2 linked regions of the Struthio camelus genome follow. The protein of the gene in region 2 interacts with the protein of the main gene of each other region in a pairwise test. Links are inferred from orthologs where the notes say so. Each region holds a gene or a part of one and is shown on either strand. Other genes may lie near its edges.

Region 1 (7,092 bases), on a different chromosome or scaffold from region 2:
CATTTTTGCTACAGTCCTTCCAAATTCTCCAGTCCTTTCCTGCAGCTTTGCAACGTGTTTAGAGGCTCCCTAGGAGAGGCTGGCATTGGGCCCCATTCAGAGCCCATGCTGAGGACGCTCTGCTTTTCTCCAGCCTTTCATTTACTTGAAGGTTTTTTTATACTTGATCTTGCTTCTGTTTCTGCTTTTAATTCAATATTTTGTCCCTGTGCTCCAACTCCCTTTATTGGATAAAAACACTCTGTTATTGAATCCTGCCCTGCAGCGGCTTGGAGAGAATTGTGTTTCCCGGACAGCAATAAGGTTGTTTTGGAGTGTTATGAGGCCGAGCAGAGCACGGAGACAGGAATAAGTCCAAAAGGAACCAGTGGTTGCTGACAGTTGTTTCAATGACAATTGCATTGCACTACGCTTTGTGGTTTCACACTCGACCTCTCCCTTTCACCCAGCACCCCGCGGGCTGACAGCGCAAGGAGCTCAAGGCAAGAAAATAGAAGCAAAAGGAAAGCTTTTGCAGGTTATTTCTAGGCGCTGTATGGAGACAGAGAGAGGTTTCAGACACAGCCTGGGGACCAGGGACATACGAGCCAAGATCCTTCCTGCGGCAGCGAGGCACCACTCAGCGCATCTGCAGGACGCCCGCCTGCCCTGCGCTGCAGCGGCCCCTCGGCGCTCCAGCCCGAGGAGCCCTGCCACAGCAGACGCTCCGGCTTCAACCTCGACCGCGTCCCGACTGCTTCCACTGTCCTGCCTGCACAACGCAAGTGATACGAGATGTCGGAGCCCAATGTTTGTTTTCTGTTACTGCCTTTCAGTGCCTTGTGTTTTCACGATTAATTTGCTCTCTCAGGCACACCGTTGGCAGTCTGTACCTCTGCTGGATTTTCAGCTGTCAGGGCCAGAAGAAATAGTACCTGAAGATTTGTGCCTTTCCCATGAGGTTGTAGATTTCTGGTTATCACATTTTATTTAGGATGGTAAATGCAGCTGCCACTTCTCAAATTCATGACTTTATGTTTTTCTGAATATCCTCACTGGCCTGCACAATATTGCCAAGGAAATGAACTAACTGATTTACTCTTTTCTATTCCTTTGCCTTCTGAGGTGAAGCTTCAGCTGGGAGTTATTGGGGCATTGTTAGACTTATTTGGGTCGGGCCTTTTTTTTTTCCAAATTGAAGAATAATTCTCTTTCGCAGCCTGTCTTCCTCCTCTCCAGTGCCGGACAGAATTTCCCAGTCTCCATTCGCAGACTCTGCAGACTGGTGCAGTCAGCAAAAACTTGGCTTTGCTGTGGAACTGCACAAGCAATATGGGCTCGTGTTTTTCTCTTCAGAGACACAATATCAGTGCCAAGCAGGAGGGAGGAATGTGACCTTGCTGGATACCCTTGTCTCCACTGAACCACTGGCTCGTTAAGTATCCTTTCGACACAAAGACCTGATGGCGATAAGCTATTGATTATTCTCCTAGTGTACCACGGTATTTGGAGGTGTTCCAGTGTGAACCACAGTCCTGGCTGTCAAATGCCTCTTGAATCCATGAAGTCTGACAGGAGCTGAGGTGTTGCCATTCGACACTTCGTTCAGCAATTTCCTTCGGAGGGTAATTTGGTGAACGTGTCACCTTTGGATTGGACCTCTGCCTCCTCTTTAGTTTAGTATCAACCGCTGCCTTCAGGTAAAGGTGCTATAGCCAAAGACAGCTCCTGGCTCTGAAAAACCTTCCAAATTGAGGGCTGAATGACAGCCCAACACATTCTTCCCAGAGAAGGCAGTCTGCGGGGTCCTAACTCCCCCGCTGCTGTTTCCCTGGAGGCCTTTTCTGTCTCCATGGCTAGAGCTGCAAAGCAAATAGGTGCTTTGTATTCAGTAGTGAATTACTACATGTAAAGTACTCTGAAGCCAGCAAAGTCTACACAAATAAAAATACTATTAAAGCAGTCTATGATTTGGCAGCTTAGTTTTCCTATGACTTACTTTATCCTTCTGCCAACATTGCATACGGAGGTCCTGATTCTGCATTTTCTGAACTGGCTGCCCTCTGAAGTGTCTCTTTTACTTCCAAGGCTAATGGGATTTTTTTTTTTTTTGGGGGGGGGGGCAGTATTGTAGCTGGAATGTTACCTGCCTCACACTGAAGCTACAAGGCTCAATTTATTTCTATGTATCTACCACTTTGAGAAGTGTGAGGAAAATATATGTTCAAAGTGCTATTAAAGAGTGAAAGGAAAAACATAATTTTAGGGAGATAATATCATTCAGCAAGAACAAAGGCAAAGGAACGGAATGGAGAGAAGAAACGTTGGAACAGCAAAAAGATCATGTCTGATGTTGTTACGTCTCCTGGGTTTATGAAGCTTCTGTCTGTAGATCGAGGGTCAGTTCTTATCTCCTTCTGTATTTTATTTATTTTACAATTGCTTATGTCTTGTTTATCACCATCACTTATCAGGCTTTCCAATAACTGTATCATGTTCACAAGTATATGTCAATACTCCTAGAATGACTTGTGAATGTTTTGGCTTCACAGCTGGTGAATTATCTAAATACTCAATAAAAGAAAGCCAGATGATCCAATAATTACCCTCTATTTATCTTGTCTTTAAAATGCAGATTTGTTGAGTTAATTTCGTCATGACTGATATGTCCTATAGTTTATTGAAACCACAGGGGACGCTATGGACTTCTTTCGTTGAAAACATTATATATATTTTCAATTTCATGAGTATTCTCAAACCAGACTCCTACTGAGATAACTGTGTAATAGCTGCAATCATTATGTTATGAAAAATTATTTAGCTCAAAGCTGTTTTTTAACGAATAGTTGAAATATATTCAATAAGATTTGGGCCAAGTTGACTCTTTCTTAATTATTCATATTTGTTAAACTGAAAAATGCGTCTATCGGTGGCTTTGCAGTTTGTTGAATTACAAAACTATTTGTCATGATCTTGAAAAACAGAGGGATTGTTACATCCCCCCTGCTGTACTCAGCACTCAGATATTGGCCTGTTTTCAAGGTGGCAGTGGTTAATGATGCTGTGTATAAACAGAAATGTGTTGCCAAAAAATGTTGGCTACAGACTTTGATATTTCCTAGCCTGTCTCAGCCCTGGGTAGGATTTGCAAAAGGCTACAGAAACAGGGTCAGAAGAAACGACTGATTTCAGGTGCCTCTGCTCTGCAGCGAGGAGCTCCGGAGCCGTGAGCGCGCTTTGCTGAAGTGCTGAGTTTCCTCAGTCTCAGAGCGGCTTCAGCTCCCAGCGTGATACGACGCAGGGCTCCAGCGGCTGCCAGACACATTGAACAAACATGAACTACAGCCTTAGCGTCGCTGCGTGCCCCACCGGGTCACGCGTCCACACTGCTCCCTCCGCAGTTCTGCGGGTAGATACTGGATGGGTTTAGCTTGGATGCTTCTTTTTTTTTGCGCCAGCAGCAAAGTCCTGATCTTAGGGGAGTGGGAGAGGTATGAGAGACATCCTCTTTGTATCGGGAATGCATACGAGTATTTGTTGATCTGGTAACTATTGTAGCGCAGCTGCCAGACTCACATCTGCTGGAACCCAAAACAAAAGGTGCAGCCGGCTCCCAGACACGCGCCTGAGAGCACAACAGCAGGGCCCAGCGTGCCAGGATGATCTCATCGCCTCTCGGAGGAGGTATAGCACGGCTGCACCAGGGCAGAAACGGGTAAACGAGGGCCCTGGTGCGGAGGGTGGGCGCGGCGCGCCCGGAGCTGCAGGAGCCGGAGGCAGGCGGGCAGGCGCGCTCCGAGGGCCCGCCTCGCCATCTCCTTGCCATGCAGCGCTGGCACCGCTGGCTCCCGCCGCCCGCTCCCCGCCGCCGCGAGGAGCCGCGCTTGGCCTCGCCGGGCTGCCCGCTCCGTGGCGGCCGCGGCCCCGGCCGGCTCCCGAGGCCCCCTTCCTCCCTCGCGGCCCGGCTCGGGCTCCATCCCGGGGCGGCTCCCCCCGCCCGGGGCTGCCCCGAGGCCCAGCAGGCCCCGCCACGGCCTTCCCCGCCGCACCGCGGCTGCCCTGACCTCTGACCTCCGCCCTTTGCCCTCCGCCCTTTGCCCTCTGCCGGGCTCTCCGGCCCTCGCATCCCCCACCCCTGCCAGCACCCGGGGCTGCTTTGCGACAGTGTGGCGCTCGCCCGCCTCTCACTTTCCGGCAGCCAGCCCTTCACCCTTCCCCTCCCGCCTCGCTTTCCGGTGGAGTGGTGCCCTCCCGCCTTCCCGTGGCGCCCTGCTTTACGGCGCGGTGTCGCGCAGCCCAGTGGTCTGCGGCGGTTGCCCGGTGGCCGCCATGGACGTGGGGGAGCTGCTCAGCTACCAGGTGAGCGGCGCCGCGGGGCAGGCCCGGCCCGGCTCGACTCGGCCCGGCTCGGCTCGGCCCGGCTCGGCTCGGCCCGGCTCGGCTCGGCCCGGCTCGGCTCGGCTCAGCTCGGCTCAGCTCAGGCGGCTCCCGCCCGCCGTCGCCGGGCCTGCCCGGGCGGCCGCGGCCCAGCGCCCCGGCGCTGCTGCGGCCTGGCGGCCCGGCCCCTGGCCTCTGGGGGCGGCGGGGAGGCGGCCTCGGTCCCGGTCCCGGTCGGGGAGCCCGGGTGAGGGGTCGGGCCGCGAGGCAGCTCGGCGGGGGCGTGCGGAGCCCGAAGCGCCCCAGGAGCCGCGGGCGGCGCCGAGGCACGGGGGAAGGCAGTGCGGCGGGAGCGCCCGGCGCTCCTCTCCTCTCCTCTCCTCCCCGGCCGTTGTGCTCGGGGGCTCCTCGGTGTACCTTTCCCCCTGAAAAAGGGGGCTTCTGATCCCGCTCGGTGCACCACGGCGTCCGTGAGCAGCATCGCTCGGGGGGGGCGTGTGGCTGCTCTGCCTTCCGCGGCTGGTGGGGACGGGGCCGTGCGTCCCCGCTGACCTGCGCCCCCACCTGCCCCTGAGGTAGAGCCTGTGCTCGTTCTGCGACTTGCGTTTTCATTCTTCCTTTTTCTTGCCTGTTTCGCTACAGAAGCCATTTGATATCATTTCTTATTCAAATCTTTTGAAAAAGTTTTCCTATTTATAAAACTTTCTTTTTATCTTATAAATATTTTTCTGCTCTTGGTGTACGATTGTGTTTTATTGAATATGTGGAGGCTAATTTGTAAGTAGCTGTGGTAAACCACTCATTTTTTGTCACAGCTGTAGATTTATAGCGTTCTCCTGTGGATAAGTGAATGACAAAAGTGATTTGTAATAACGTTTTAATTTCTCTGTTATGATTCTTATACACAAATACTGTTGACTTGTACTTTTATTCCTAGACAAACTGCAACAACGTACTTTCCCTGCTGAATCAGTAGGTAAAATAAAAGCATTCTAAAATCAAGTATTGAAATTGTTGTTGAAGGTGTTGTGTTGGCCTTGTGCTCTTCTGGTCTCTTACCTGAATACAAATGGCTTCCTGTGTCAGTAGGTTAGGTAACGCTTCAGAAGAAGTGCTGGATTTCTGGCATCATTGAACTCAGACCTCCAGAATTAGGCAGAAGGGTGAATACATGTGAGATAGGTGGGGGAACAGAAGGCAGATAAATAGTTATGATTTTGTGAAGGTGAGAATGCCTTCTGTGAAGGGGCTTAGGGCTGAAACTTAGAAACAGAAGTTGCAAACTACAGGTTTCAGCTGCTTCCATCCTAGAAAAGGTCAGGTACCCGCCGCTGCTGTCACAGGAAATGGCAGAATAGGTGCCCTCGCACCAAAAATATAAGTTTGGAAATGTACGTTCTACTCCACTGAACAAGTAAAATTCAAAATAATCCAGCTTCTATTCTGTTGTGACTGTGCCACAGAGAGGGTTCTGCCTTGCGCGTGGCAGAATGAAATCAGATAGATGAAGTGAGCATTGCTCCAAGCTGTCTGCTTGACAGAGCTGCTGCTCCTGAGACAGGGATGACTTAGTAGCTCATAAAACAGCTCCTGAACTGCTCCAATTTTCTATCTGATGTTTTAAGTTTAACTGGATTTGAGGTCAGGGTGCTTTCCTATATCAGACTGAAAAGCATGCTGGTTCAAGATTTCTTCATTCATCCTTGCTGCTGGGGTGGCAACTGCTGTCAGAAGAGTGGGCTAGATGATGGGTGGCGTGCGCTTCAGCTGTCTGATTTTTTTAATCTGTTGCTGCAGATGAGTTGCTCTTAGCTTCCCTCAGCACAAACCACAATAATTGCTTTTCTCTTATATTGTTTCAAATTTGTCTCCTCTAAACGTTTAATCTGTGCCCTTGATTAATCAAGAAAATGTTCTCCCTTAGTGTCAAACTTGGCATGGAAGATTTCAGGCACTGTGCTGCCAGTTCAGCATCAAGCGTTGATCAGAATAGGAAAGGGAACATCTTGCAACAGAAAATACAGTTAAACAGACTCCAGCACCTGGCAGTTTATACAAAGCTCAGGAATCCATAAACTTTATGTGTTGTTGCAAAACAGTTGCAGATGGTCTAAACTGCTGATTAAATGTTGCTGCTGTTCTGCCCAGAAAGACTGCCCAGATCCACTGTGTCTGGTTTCTGATTGCAGTGGGTAATTAAGGGGGACAAAGCCATCTCTGGTTATTTTCAGACATCTCTTTCAGTTGTCTTGGGAGGGGGGGAAGGGAGATTATTTTAGTTCTTGTTAAATGCAAATTTCATTACAGTGTGGGGTGATTACAAATTGCTATTTTTTTTTAAAATGAAATATTTGTAAAATCAAACAAAGGGAAAAGCAGGAAAATATGAGATAAGGTTTGACTTCACTGAGTTGGGCTGTCTTCCTGTTTGATTTCGTTAAATGTAGCTTGTAGTGGAATGTATCCCTATATATCAGTGCAGGTGCAGACTAATTTCTGCTACTGGTATAGATAATTTACTGTAAACTTGCTAACATAATGAATGCATTTGATGGTAGAGGCAGTTCAGTTGACTTGTAGGCTGTTGACTACTTACAACCTTATTACCCTAGCAACTCTTGTCATGCCTTCTGTTTAAAGTTATGAGCAGTCATCAGCATCAGCCTCTGTGTTCTCTTCAGATTGCCTGTTCGGTGCTTCTCCAGACTGCCCGGAGCTAGAGTGCTCTTTTGGTTA
Region 2 (7,862 bases):
AATAGAATAAAACACTCCTTGCTACAAACAGTATAAAATTCAACAATTCCCAGAATAACTCTGCCAAAGTATGTTTTTTCAGCAGAAGATCATCAAGTTCAACATACCCTCAACTCTGTTTCACCTTCTCTAAATTTGAAATAATAAAATACTGCCAGCGTACCCAAAAGGACACCCAAAACGGACAGACTGAGGAGAATTACTGTTCTGGTGGAACTGAGAGAACTTAGCTCATTTGTACCATGCAAATTGACAGACCCGTCACCAAAAGCAAAGAATGACGAAGACAGAAAACGAGGCTGGGAGAGACATTAGAAACTGCTCAGTGACATTCCTGTATTCAACACAAGTGACAGACAGTAAGACATCTGATGTTGCCACAGTCAAAACAAGGTGGTTTTTTTAACTGCCATCCCCTCAAACTTCACCTATCTTGTTAAGCAATTAAAAAGAAAAAGAAAAGCTTTAGGTGAGATTTTTTACTTTGCACATCAACAGTAAGAATTCTAGTATCTCAATTAAGAAAGGAAACGTATTGATCATACAAAACAGATGCAACTTCCCCTTCTGCACACTGGTGCTTTGACAGGCTAAAAAAAGATAATGCTTGCATGCATACCCTCTGTTTTGGTGGAAATCATGAAAATTAAGTTATTTGCACTCCACAAATATCTCTCAACGATTTTAAATATTGCCTTCATTGCCAATTATTCTACACTGGCATGTTTTTCTGTAACAACACACTGTCAGGAGGATGTTAAGTATGAGAAAGCAGGAGGAAAGGTAATTCTCTATTTTTGATTCTACCATGAAAAAAAAAAAAAAAAATCAACTGAAACATCCTCCCCTCATTCAAGCTTACACAATGTAATGGATGTTCCTATCTCAAGCACAGAACAAATAATTTCAGTAGTGTTCAAACTTTCTATTTATTCATTTCAGTCAAGCTGAAATAATCCTAGTTTAACCCCAAATGAGTATTTATAAAAACAAAATTTGTTTAAAATCACATCTTCAGCCAGCGCCGTGGAGATCTCTTGACATGTTCAGGGCTCGGTATTCAGGCAAGCCCATAGGGACGCTACCCAAGGGTCAAAGGCACTGTATTCAGCACGTGTCCCCCAAATAACAACTGAACAGAGAGGCAGTCCCAGGGTGACAATTATCACCAGCGTGACAAGGACAGAGAGACCAGCCAGAACGCTGAAAGGTGCCAAACCAAAAAACCAAAACTATTTGCAACTATTTGCAGAACAACCATAGTCGTTCTACTGGAACCACAATGGTGAATAGCATGGTACGAGAGCTCCATTTTAAACCTCATACAAACATCTGCAGAAGAAAGGAAAGGCAGGAGCAAAGTCATGTGTCATGGTGGGGAGGAATCACACAACTACACACATGATCATACTGACTATGAATACCATCTGAACAATTTGAGACACAAGGTACTCCCCCCCCAAAAAAAAGAAAAAAGGAAAGGCAGAAAACCAGGGAGGATACCAGGAGTTTTCAGCAAATTCTCAAAAGCATCAGAGCACAAAACCCTGAAACCTGCTGGATGCTGAAGTATTCCCACCACCAGTGGTAACAGGGTGGAAAGCAAGAAAGTATTCCATGAAATTTTCGTAAATTGGGCCATGTTCAGACTAGCAAAGCACAGTTTCTACGCTGCTTTACTTAAAACTAGTAATTCAATAAGCTCAAAACCATCAAGCTACTTTATTCTAAAATAAAGAGTGCCTAACTTTTATCATGAGCGTATGGCAAATTATTAAAAATACTACCACTTATAGGCAACTACGTGAAAACTATCCCATACTTTTCAAAACAATTGATAACAATGTAAATACCAGCATGCCAGCATATGAACACAGTCCAAATGCTGTCTACTGCTACTAACTATTCTTTTGTACTATCTCATCTCTCACCGATCCAAACAGTAGTAACTGCTTTTGCCTAATTAATTTTGCATAATTCAAGAGTATCTCTTTTATCTGTGGTTTCTAATTGTTTTCTGAGTCCCAGAGACCCAAGCGCAACAGCTTTATACAATGTCACTGGCTCAAGGAGTTGGGCACTATGTATATTTTAACGGTACAAATAGAAACAGGCACCACGGTTCAAGAGACCGCTGCGCTGTTTCATGGAAATTCAGGCATGTGACCGGTCCCCTCTTCATGTCCGGACTGCCAATGTCCAGGCTTTTTGGGTGCCAAAGCTTAATTAACCAGGGCCCCTTTAACAAACTCCAAATACTGAAACTGCCGTACAAAAATCTTTTATATTAGACCTTGGAATGGGAAACAGACCCAACTGCTGATCTTGCAATTCAAAGTAATTTTGTACTACTGGCTTACTTGGCAATTACTTACAACGGGGACACGCAGTTACTTATAAACGAGCTTCCTAGCCAGCAGATGACACATCACTTCAGGGAGGCAAGGAAACCTCAGTCCTTCTGGTTCAGCCAGAACCAAACCCACTGCCAACTAGCACGGCACAAAAAGGAGCAAGAGCCAGAGGAAGGCCACAGGCCCTGCGCAGTCAAAAACGAGCTCCCACGAGAAACACGGGAACCCAGAAAAGACCGCCTCTTTCTCCCCTTTGCTGAGCCTTAAAAGAAACATAACGTGCTAGCTTTTAGCTCTTCCGCAGAAAGGTGCCTAGCAGATAAGAGCCTCTCTTTACAGCATCAGCTATGACAAGTTAGTGCTATTCACGTCTATTGCTCCTTGCCAATCAAAGGTTCTCAACGCGCTTTCCAAACAGTGAGCCTTTTACAGCACCGCCGCCCTTATCCCCACTCTGCAGGTGGAGAACTTGAGGAACTGGCTACACAGAGGTGGAAAGTTTACCAAGTACCACGCAGGACACACGTACCATCCAGTGCTTCGGTCTTTCTACAGCATCCCTCGATTCTTCTTCCACAGAAACCCACATAAAACTCAAACCTTCTTCCAGCAAAAGCGATTAAAACGCTGGTTCCACCTCCTCCCCCCAGCATGTACCAAGACGGCAAACACACAAGCAGCCTGGTGTGTCTAGGCATGTGTCGCACCTGCACAAGACCCCCCTTAGGTGGGCAGATCACAGCACGCTCGTCCTTGGAGCTCTAAAACCCCCAACGCTACCAATACGCGTAGGTAGTCAGGCGATGCCCGTAACGCGCTGCGCATACTTGCGAGGACATAAATTCACTTTCAAACAAAAACAAGAGAAGACAGAATTATGAAAATACGCGCTATTTTAAAAAGCCACAACTCCCACTCTTCCGGAGCAGGCTTTTCGTTAAAAAAAAAAAAAAGAAAAAACAAAAACGCTCCTCTCCAGCAAGCTCCACACAACGCTCCCAAACGTTACAAACGCCAGGACGGCACGAGCGCCCCTGAAACGGCGCGGTGCTCTCTCACCGCGGCGGCCGGCCGCACACCGGCGCGGGCCGCCCTCGCCCCCGGACCGCCTCGGCGCCGCCGGGCCGGGCCGGGCCGGGCCAGAGCCGCCCCCCGCGGGGAGGAGCCGCCGCCGCCGACCCCCGGGCACGGTAAGGCGGCAGCCCCGCCGCGCCACGTGGATAGGGGGCCCCGCCAAGGCCGGATCTGCCCCCAAAACAGCACCGCTCGCCGTATTCTGGGGGGAGGAAGGAGGGTTTCTAACGCCTCCCGGCCGGGCCCAGCTTCGCCAGCGGCGGCGGGACCGGCAGCGCCGCCTCCCCCGCGCCGCCCGCCGCCGGCGGGGGCGAACAAAGGCCGCCGCCAACGCCGCCGCCGCCGGCCCCTGCCGGGGACGGCGCAGAGCCCGCGGCGGCGGCGGCGGCGGCCGCTCCACGTGGCGGGCGCCGGCCGGGCCAGGCCGGGCCGTGCCCCAGCGCGGGCCCGTCCCCGTCCCTGTCCCCGTCCCCTCCCTGCCCGCCGCGCCGCCCCCGCGGCCTGCGGAGGGGGCGCGGGCGGCCGGTGCCGCGCGCCGCCGCCCCCGAGGGCCGCCTCACCTTGCCGCGGCTCGTCGCCGCCGCCCTCGTCGCCGCCGCCCTCGTCGCCGGGCCCGCCGCCGCCGCTGCTGCTGCCGCCGCCGCCGCCCCCCGGCCGGCCGCCCGCCGCCGCCGCCCGCGCCGCGCCATCGCGCGAGCCGGAGCCGCCGCCGCTCGGCTGCTGCGGGGCGCGGGAGCGGGAGGGAGGAGAGGGGCGGGGAGGAGCGCGGGGGCGCCGCCGCCGCCGGCTGCGCGGGCAGCGGGAGGCGGGCGAGGCGGCGGGGTGGAGCCGCCCGGCGGCGGCGGGAAAGGCGCGGGGGACGGGCCGGGCCGCGACCCGACCCGCCGGGGCAGCCCGTGCCCTCCCTCCGCCCCTGCGCGGCCGGCGGCGGCGGGGTCTCGGCTGCCCGGGGACCGGGCCGGGCCGGGTCGCTCCCCGCAGCGCAGCGCTCACGCGGGACCGGCGGGTAAGGGCAAAGGAGCGCTGCCGGCTGACCGAATAGGCGCTGATCCTCCAAATAATTCATCCTTTTTTGTTTGTTTGTTTGTTTGTTTCATATTACGCAGCCGTGAAGTACACGCGTTTTTCAAGACGCTAGAAAGACGGATGGAAATAATTTTTAAGTGCTTTCTGTAAGCGCTGCCAAGCTTTTCAAGTGGGGTACCTTGAACTCCCAGTTGTTGCGCCGGTGCAAAGTGAAGTCTAAAGAGGCAGCATATGACCTGTTGGGGTTTTTTTTCCCCCCCTTCAACATCAGATCTAGAGGAATTCAAATTTAAAAATGGTGCAAAGTAGACCAAGTTAGAGTATTTTAATAAAAGATGGAAAAAGTGAGAACATGTATCTTTTTTTTTTGTTTCCACAATTTATATTTTCCTAAAACAAATTCCTATTTTATTATATTCTTCCAGACTTCAGCTAGCAGGAAGAAAAAAGAACATGAACACAGAGAAACTATTATGTTTCTACTTGTCTCCAAATGGCCTCCTGTGTTCCTTGGTTAGGAGTTCTAATTTTTGTAAAAATTTACGATATTATAGGTGTCAAATTAGTACTAGGTTAGGCACCTTTTATCTGGTGATTACTGAATAATTCCATAAGCAAAACAGCCCTTTGGGCAGAGACCATGTCCCAGAGATCGTGGTCCCCAGTGAGCGCACTGCATGGTGGGACGGAGGTTCCTGCGCAGCTTCTCCCTGTCCCACTGACACTGTGGCTCCTCGATTGCTCAGTGCAGCATGAAACAGGTCACAGAAACCTGCTGAGATTATATTTTCCTGTTGTGGCTTTGATAATGGAAAAGTATAATTCCCAATATGCATGTAACTGAACTCTTGCATTTAGGCTACATTTTTAAAAGTTCCCCTCCTTTTCCCCAGTCTGCAAATTTCTTCCTGGGTGGCCCTGGAGAGTACCACTCATCTTCGCAGCTGCAGCCATCCTCTCCAACCGTGGCTGTTGCCAACCCCTGATCAGTGATCTCAAAGGGATGGGCTCTGCAAATGGTTCGCGGGTATAAAGCCCTCTCAGAACTGGCAATGGAATATCTCCAGTACTTGCAATTCCATAAAATTCATGTATGACCTCTTAACTGCACTGTTCTCTGACATCAGGGAAAACAGGAGAATGCTCACTGGCTCTCTCTAAGCCCGGGGGTGTGGGATAAGGTCTGGACATTTGGACCAAGAAAGCAACACGTTCATCTGCTATGTAATCTAGATGAAATAGGCCCATGATAACTGTCTTTGTAGTTTTGCATTAATTAAAGAAAAAAAAAAGATGAATGGGTTGTATTCCTCTGTAGCTTACCTTCAAACCCAATTGTGAATTACCACATGAGTAACAAATCCAGAACTCTTTGACTATTTTAATACTTGCTGAATGCCATCAAATTACTTGTTGTGTATATGTTTTAGTTTAGGGAGGGCTCCAACATTCATTGTGCAGTCTGCCTACCACAATGGGTTCCCAATCCTGATTAGGACTTTTAAATAGTGTAGTGTAGTGTAATTGACTTACAATAAGACTCACAAATGTAATTTTCCTGTAGGCAAGTGAAAAGACAAGATGAGAAATTATCTTCTTCTGTTGCTCTCTGAAAAGCCCCCCACAAAAGTGGAAGAAGAGCCTCTCCTTGTAGTATGGTATTTGATCCTCAGTGTAACACACGCTGTTTGAGTCCCAAGGTGGACTACCGAGCTGAGCCACAAAGTACTTCCAAGCCTTTATATTCCAGCCATATAGAGAGTAGTTGTTAGAACTGGATCTGAGGAAAAGTAGTTACATGCAAACAAAGAACCGTTTAAATACTCGCTATTTAAATACTGGTTTGCATTGCAATATCCACTGCAGACACCTGCGGTTGTCACTCAGGGTACAGGAATAAGCTTTGTGGATGAGGTAGGGAGGAGGGGAAAAGGGAATTTAGTAGAAGACAAAGCATGGGAATTACATATAATGTCAGCAAAATTGAACGTAGACTTTTCAAAATATGAAAGTGTATAAAATCACTTGTATAATAACACGTAGCCCATATACTCCTTGAAGATCTGTATTTTATGTATTCTGTTGCTGACCCTGGTTTTCGTTCTTTTGCTTCTCCCCAACAGTTTACAGTGTGAAGCACTTCATTTGTTAAAAGCTGTCAAGACACTAGCTCAGACTGTGAACAGCAGATTTGAAACGATTGTGTTGGCTGTCCTGTGCTAAATTAGACTGAATAAAATTGCATTCTGATTATAACAGAGATATGTGACTATTGTGCTCTTGCATATACATTAGGAACTGCCCAATAGTATCTTGTGCTATTTTATGCAATTTCTTGCTTTGTTTCTCTTTTTCTGTTAACTTTCCATTTCATTTTATACTTTCACAATCATTCTCCTTCCCAGCATTTTCAAGTCATTTGTGTCAGATATTGATCTTTATGCTGCTCTTTTAGAGTTGGGTTTCTTTAATTGCCTTGGTTTGATTAGATGGCAGCTGTATCTCAAATACTTCTCAGTGTGGATTTTCTGCTACTGCATTTCTGCCCATTTTCTTTACCTCCTTTCAAAGTTTGTGTATCTAACCCCCAATAGCTTTCATACTATTGCCTTGTCAGTAGAACCTCATCAGCTCCTCAGATGAGATACAGCTAGATTTTAGGTCCTCTTCAACCTTATATATTAAGCCTGAATTATTTTGCAACAGCTGGGTCCCGAATAGCCTCTCTTTGCTCCTCATTCTGTGATAGCATTGCTGATAATGTCTCAGTCCAGACTTCACACTCTTGAATTATGTAAAGAAACTCATAGCAGTAAGTTCTGTCTCGGGCTTAGGGTGACCATTATAATCGGACTAAAACTTTCTGAACGAAACCAGCATGTCCTGAAGGAATCATTAGCTGCTCTGAGTATGTATCAAGTATAGCAGCTCGATTCATTTTTGTGGGCCACCTCAGTAACATACTTGATGCACAGTAAAATTACATCATAGGACCAGCATCTCTCTGAAGTGGCCTTGTAAATGAAAAGTACGTTTACCGTTAATTTCAAATGAATAAATACCATTCTAGGTTATAATTCTGGACTTTGATGCTCTCATTTCACCAAACTAGATGCACATGAAAATCAGTCCTCACTCCTGAGCTGTTTTCACTGCTCCCTCCAAAAGTCTCTAATTTGGGGAGCCATTGTAATCATGACTGGGGGTTTCAGTCCTATCTTCCTGCCACCACATTTCTCTGAGACCTGTCAAGCATTTTAAGTAGCATGCACTTTCCCACACTTCTCAATGAATGCTGACGTACCTAACTTAAAAGGATTACTTTCTGCTGAGAGGAATTGTAATCCTCTTTTCCTGCTCTGCAAATCCTCTAGTAAGTGAAAAAGAAAGGCCAAAATCTGTTCTGCT

The links. The genes of interacting proteins can lie anywhere in the genome.
Region 1: the proteins of CDCA7L (region 2) and CTNNBL1 interact in binary tests that used the Homo sapiens proteins (3 or more experiments, as listed by UniProt). The link is inferred for Struthio camelus from reciprocal best matches to the Homo sapiens genes CDCA7L and CTNNBL1.

What each region holds. Positions count from the first base shown.
Region 1 is NC_090959.1:19,226,465-19,233,556, reverse strand, and holds the start of CTNNBL1 (beta-catenin-like protein 1), read left to right. Parts: upstream 1-4,090; 5' UTR 4,091-4,308; coding exon 4,309-4,338; intron 4,339-7,092. UniProt on the Homo sapiens protein: Component of the PRP19-CDC5L complex that forms an integral part of the spliceosome and is required for activating pre-mRNA splicing.
Region 2 is NC_090943.1:36,864,098-36,871,959, forward strand, and holds the start of CDCA7L (cell division cycle-associated 7-like protein), read right to left. Parts: upstream 3,007-7,862; 5' UTR 2,944-3,006; coding exon 2,884-2,943; intron 1-2,883. UniProt on the Homo sapiens protein: Plays a role in transcriptional regulation as a repressor that inhibits monoamine oxidase A (MAOA) activity and gene expression by binding to the promoter.